Linked DNA regions of Daphnia pulex. The main gene of each other region encodes a partner of the protein of the gene in region 2 in a complex. Links are inferred from orthologs where the notes say so. Each region holds a gene or a part of one and is shown on either strand. Other genes may lie near its edges. The genes, in order: G-protein-signaling modulator 2-like and disks large 1 tumor suppressor protein-like.

The links.
Region 1: the proteins of disks large 1 tumor suppressor protein-like (region 2) and G-protein-signaling modulator 2-like are in contact, whole or in part, in a crystal structure (PDB 3TVT), measured with the Drosophila melanogaster proteins. The link is inferred for Daphnia pulex from reciprocal best matches to the Drosophila melanogaster genes dlg1 and pins. Residues at the interface, in NP_996406.1 of Drosophila melanogaster: Cys808, Val809, Pro810, Arg814, Arg817, Arg824, Asp825, Tyr826, Ile839, His842, Phe844, Ile845, Glu846, Ala847, Gly848, Gln849, Tyr850, Tyr855, Ser877, Asn879, Arg883; in NP_524999.2 of Drosophila melanogaster: Arg434, Met437, Gln439, Leu440, Asp441, Leu442, Ile443, Lys444, Ile445, Thr446, Pro447.

Annotation. Positions count from the first base shown.
Region 1 is NC_060018.1:4,015,643-4,018,063, reverse strand, and holds the end of G-protein-signaling modulator 2-like, read right to left. Parts: intron 2,216-2,421; coding exon 2,093-2,215; intron 1,907-2,092; coding exon 1,753-1,906; coding exon of another isoform or gene 1,618-1,752; coding exon 1,406-1,617; intron 1,304-1,405; coding exon 1,112-1,303; 3' UTR 652-1,111; downstream 1-651.
Region 2 is NC_060025.1:300,726-304,651, reverse strand, and holds the start of disks large 1 tumor suppressor protein-like, read right to left. Parts: upstream 2,854-3,926; 5' UTR 2,707-2,853; coding exon 2,169-2,706; intron 1,893-2,168; coding exon 1,681-1,892; intron 1-1,680. UniProt on the Drosophila melanogaster protein: During embryonic development, some isoforms are essential for proper neuronal differentiation and organization. Required for cell polarity; maintenance of apicobasal polarity.

The DNA.
Region 1 (2,421 bases), on a different chromosome or scaffold from region 2:
AAGTTGGACTGAGAACGACGCAGCTGGTTTGGATTACACATGGCGGCACGTCTAAATGTTGTATCAACACAACAAAAAAGAAATGGGCAACAAGAATTCAAGTTGAACATTTCAATAAAGGAGGAGGGGTGGGCCTTGGAAGTTTGGGAGGGAACAGAATCGGTGCCGTGCAACAAGACAGACCCAAGAAAATAATAAAAGTTTGCGCACGCGTATGGAAGATGTTGAATATCAAACAGGATTCATTTTACTCGCGTGAAAAATAGAACAAAGTGCTCTCGTTCCAATCCCCTTTTGGCCCTCGCTTTTTATGTTGGGAGGAAACAAAAACACGACTCGTTTACCCCCCACCCCCATAGGCATCTGCATTTACATCTCTTTCACGTCAGTCCTCGACAAAAAAAGAAACATTTTCATTTCGCTACAATAATAAAACGAAAATATCCCGAAGGAAAGGAGCCCACCAAGCACCAAAGTGAAAAGATAACGAGAAATCGAATTTTGTTTTTTTCCCCTTCTTGCTCACACTGTCGCCAACTTAATCTCATCTCTAAAAACTTCCATGACAAACAATTTCGTTTTCACGACAACAATGATGACTTTCCACTGCAGATCCAAGAAAGAAAAAAAAAAGATGGGGACAAAAATAAATAAAACGAGGAATAGGCCTATTTATTGTCTTCTAACTGCCTTTCACGTTGGGAGTAGGAACAATGCTCTGCCAACGGAATAGAAAGAGAAGACAAGAACTGCCATGTTCGGAAAAAAAAAGGGACTCCTTTGAACTCGTGTGCAACCATGCGGGAACGGACAATCAACCCCCCCTTCCCCTTGTTTGTTCCCCAAAGGAGGAATGGTGAGATTTAATTTTCGCGATTTCTACTTCCAGGAGGAGGCAGAGAGCGAATGAAATGGATGTGAAGTTGGAAGAGTTTTTTTGGAAAAAAAAACTCGGTCAAAAGTAAAAGAAAAAGGGAATGGCTATTTTTTGAAACGAATAAAAATGGAGAGAGGGTATTGATAGAGACTGTCAACATACATTTCGATCATGGATGAGAGCTGATGGCGAGGAGGGGTAAAACATTCCGAGAGGTTAGGGATACCGTTCCGTCTAGGAGGAAGTGGCGGCAGCTCCGTTGGCAGCGATGAGAGGTGAAGGATCTTCGGCTCTTTGATCCTCGAGTCGACCCGATTGGAGTCGCATTATCAACGAGAAAAAGTCTTCGTCGGGCATGGTGGGCCCCCTGTGCCGCCGAGGCGATGTATCCGGCAAGGCGCTGCGCTGATCTTCCAGCCTCGTACCCTACACGATGAAAAAAATAAAAAGTAAAAAATCATTTTAAAAAGTCGTTCGTGAAAAAGAAACGAGTACAAATTCGGCCAAAAAGGTGGAAGAATATCTAACCTGACACCGCATCAACATTTCGAAGAAATTCTCATCGGGCAATGCGGCTGCATCCTCGCCGGCTGGCTCCACAGACAGCCGACGTAAAATGTCTGGATTGGCGTTGTTCAGGCCGGGTAGTCGCGGTAGTGAAGCTCTCTGCTCATCCATCCGGCGACTCTGCATGCCGGCGATCAGGTCCATTAAATCTTCCTTCAATCTCGACGGGCTCTCTATCGAAACAATATGCGAAAAAAGAGGAAAATAAAAACACACTCCCTCGTAGAAGCAGGCAAACGAAACAAAACTCGGGGCGACGCCAGGAGCGCGTATCCCCCCTCCCTGGTTTCCCTGGAAAAACAACTCACCGTGAATATTCGACGGGAGTGTACTTGCTTGTTGGTTCTCCTTGTTGTCTACGATTGCCAACGAGCAACGCTGATCGTCCATGCGTTTCGATTGGAATTGAGTGACCAAATTAAAAAAGGATTCCTCTTCATCCATGGCGTCGTCTCCGTTGGCCTATCGTATTGCAAAACGAAATGGATTCCGGTTAGCAACAGGGTAGTAACGGACAGAAATAGAGAGACAAAAACAACAAGCGAGACTATGAGATGTGACAGTTGTGATAGACTGGCAGCGAAAGAAGCAGACAGACGAACGAGCCATCCGATAGAGCCGGATCAAGAGAGGATTGTTGAAACTTACAAACGGGGGCAGCATATCACGTCTAACCAACGGGTGACCAGCGAGCGGTCTAGGCCACACAGGATCCATTTCATGCAGTTCCCGGCGTCCCTTGCTATGAAGTTGTTTCACATCCGGCGTCAGCTGGATTAATCACAGTGCAAGCAACCGAAATTGAAACGGACCAACGAAAACAATGATGACGGTAATAAAAATAATAATAAAATCGCCATGCTGCAGATTTTGCCAAGAGAAAAAATAGAAGTTTTGGAAGGTCTCCGGTAGATTTCCCACCTTCCCAAGTTTGAACGCGAGGGTGCGGTATGCGAGAAAATAGAAGCCAAGAATAA
Region 2 (3,926 bases):
CGAAAAAAAAATAGAAATCCGCATTTCTAAAAAAAAAAAAGGGTGGAGAAAGAATAGTAAAAAAAGAAGAGATAAGATGGTCTAAGAGATGCCATTTGGAGATGTAAGTAAGTAGCCGCTCGCCCCGGCGCTCGATCGATGGCCTCCTCCTCCGCCACGCAGCTCAAACACAAGAGCCGCGTGATTGTCACAAATGAGTGTATTATCACGCTGTTTGTTGAACCATTAAACCCAGAAGCTTGTTTGCCAGGGGTTTTTTTTTTATTTACTTGGCATGGCAACAACCTCACGGTTTGGGGGGGTAAAACCACAACAACAACAACAATACACTCTCGTCCGCCCATCCGCCCAACGGTATCCAGTGTACAGAGAGTTGGCGCCCTTGGGCTACGCACTAACGAAACGTAGAGTATATAGTGATGGTGGCCAACCCAAAGAGATTCGTACCCTTATCCAGCGATCCAGCCTCGTAAAAACGTGTTTCCTTCAAATGAGCTTCAACCAGCGTAGTGCATTTAACTCGAATAACATTTCATTGGCCGACGATAAAACGTGATTGTCTCTCTTCAAAGCCGGTAAGTGCGTGACGCAACGCCACTCGCCTTCTCCACCCTCGCCCACTACAAGTAGGGGGCACTTGCCAATTTCTCATCAAGCGGTTAGCGATTCTCTTTTCTAATTTTCTCGAGAAAGGGACTGGTCTCGTGCTGGTCCCACATAACACAAATTCAAAAATTAAATTATCTTCACTGGTCCTCCACCAAGTCCATTTAGTAGGCGACTTAAAAGACGACGGGGTAGTTGACGTCATTGCACGCAGCGCCGGGCACTGACAGGGAAGGAGGATCAATACCCGGGCGGGGTGAGTTCAAGCTCGTCTGGGCGTCAATGAACAGCCGCTCATTATGTTTGAAGATGAAGACTCACGACGAGCAAACGCTCATCCTCAAACTCTTGCTGGCGGGGTATTTGAATTGAGCAACGAACCGTTGCGTCAAACTCCGCGTCCCAACAACTTTTCTTTATTTTTAAATCGATAATGACACGGCCGTGTTGCAAGTTGGTTTTAATTTATTTTTTAATTCAACAGTTTGTTGATTTTTTCTTTTCCGAATAATTCATCAATAATAACGGCGGGTAAATAAAGCGAATGATTTTTTAAATTCAACGATTTTCAGATCTGGTAGGGAGAACGTGTAAGTCAACAAGGTGGCAACGGCCAATCCCGTGGCTCTCTTGTTGGTTCAGCTCGTCGACCCGCAACACGCTTCAATCAGCTTTGGAAAACGTTTGCGCTGCTGGTGTTTGTTGATGTCGAAATCAAAATCAACATGGCGTTTGTGTGTGTGTTGGGGGGGGGGGGGCGAGGGCGGGAAATCGATCGGAGCTTTTGATACAAGCCGACGCTCCCAAAAATGCTCTTTAAAAGTTGAATACATTTTTCCTAGAGCGATTCGCCTAATTCTCCTACAACTTTTTTTCGTTTCATCCAGAGTCGAATAAGAAAGCCACGCACTCGGATGAGATTTATTTGAGCTTATTCATGGATTCGCCAAGTTCCGTTTCCCACATCGCTTCATCAAAAATGAAAAATGATTTTTCTTTTGGCTTTTTATACACGCCACCCACTCCCGCCACAGTTGCGAATAAATTCAAACGAAGGTTGTATTGGGTTCTTACCTCCATCGGGAACGACGTCGAGGCGGCCGTGACGCAAGATGACGACTGTTGTTGAATGCTGTCGCCGAACCGCGTCGGAATGATGACGGCTGCCGGCCCTGACTGTTGATTAGCCGTTTCCCATTTGCTTGCCATTTGCAGCGTCTCGGCCGTCTTTTGTTGCACCGTTTTCGTCTCGTCCAGCAACGTCAACTCGTAAAATTCCTGAATGTCTATTTACAACGGGGAAAACGTGGAATTAGTTTTGACAGCCGCATTAATGGAATGGAAATGGCGCTCAATTTGAAATAGATTGAGAGGTACATAACAATCAAATTCAACACGCGCCAACGACTTAATATCTTTAAATTAGAAAAGTAATCAAAAACAAGGAAATTTCGTCGTCGTCGACGTTCCATTGTTGGAAAACTTTTGTGTGTGTGTGTGTGTCGGTATGGCCGCCAACCAATCCTAGTAGCCGGAGCTTAATTGAATTCCGAATAACCAACCATGCGCGGATCGAGACGTCGGCCGATTGCGTGGCAGAGTCGAATAATTCCAACTTTGAGCGCCACGAGCGGAGTAGAATCCGAATGGATCGTCACAAAATCGGACAGCCGGCCGGCGGACAGCTGGGCGGCCGCCGCCCGTCGGACAAGTGCACTCCAAGGTGCTTAGCGGTAAGTTTTGAGCGGAACGGGAGAAGGATTGAGCTTGTTGGAAGAATCTCGGAGGCTGCTGAGAGATGGGGTAATGTTGCTGGAAACGCTGGAAACTGTCGCGATGGATGGACGAAGAGGAGCGATGGATTTGCACGTTCTGCCTCAAAGGCGGCGGAGGCGGCGGAGGGATCACATCGTCGTCAACAACGTCCTCCTCGTCTTGTAGTTGTTGCTGTTGTTGTTTAGAGTCGGCGAATGAAACTGGAGGAGGCAACAGTAATAGATGCTCGTCCAATCCGGGATGATTGGACGACCGTTTTCTTTTGTCTTTTCTCACTTCCGCTCGGATGCGCATTAGCCAAAGTAAGCCGAACAGGGCCATCATAATGGCCACCAACCGGGGCCTGTCGTCCGGGACCTCTCGATAGCCATCACATCACTCATAGACCCTGATGGACATACTAATAATCCTGCGTGGTGCTTTTTGTTTTGTAATTTTATCCGGGTACAAGATCACTCGAGGCCGCCGTCCTGTCGACGAGAAAGGCAACAACATCCACCACCACGGAAGAGGCGAATACATCTGCTAACGGCTGATGCTGGTCTTCTCCTCCTCACTCGTATGTACAACACACACAAAACGGACCCAGCGTCTATATAGCGGCGCCGGCGCCGACTAGCTCTTACTCGATCGACAGTGGCTCTTGAAAATCCACTTTCGCCTTCCATTCATCAACGTCTCTGCATATAGACAGATTAGGTAGTAGAAAACAGCAACAGTCGGTCGACAGACTTCTTTTGTAAAAACCCACCAGCCCACATCGTTTCCCTATTTACTTTTTCTTTCTTGGAAATAAATAAATAACAAAAAGGATCCAGAGGATTAGACGACGTGGGCCTCAAAACTAATCCGGTCGCGGTTGTTGGCTTCCAAAAAACCCCAAGACGGACTACTGCGGGGCTTGATTGCCCACCCCAACTAATACCCATGTATATATGGCTGCCAGCGCAGAGCAGTACTAAATAATTCACGGAATAAAAATGTATGACGATGAAAAATAACCCACCCAAAAATAAGAGACTTTTCTTTTTTGACATTTCCGAATTAGACTTTGTGTTGTTATGGATGACGGAACAGCGGCAACACACACACAACGTCCATTCGACCGAGAAGATTGTGTGTCTAGAAAGAATCGAAAAACGATGACTTGATTTGTGTATGCAAATCTGATTTTCTTTTCTCTTCTCCCTTTTTTAAATCACAGTCCCATTCGACTGTTTAGTTTCCCGAGCAAAACGACAGAAAGAAAAACAAGACGAAATAACGTTATGGATCGTCCCGGGATTGTCTGTCTGTCTATGTGTGCGACCAACGGAATATAGTTGGAAGAAGCGGCCCAAAATTGATAGATCTCGACAGCAATTTTCCAGTTCTGATGGATGTTATAATCTTCGGGGAGTGCGGTATTATATTCTACACAAAACAGAAGAAAAAGAAGGGCTTTTCTTTTTATTCTTGTTTGGTTTGGAAACCATAATAACAAATCATAAAAAAAAAGAGCCCCCCAACCACCATTCTTTGGTGAATACAAGAGAAAATCGATC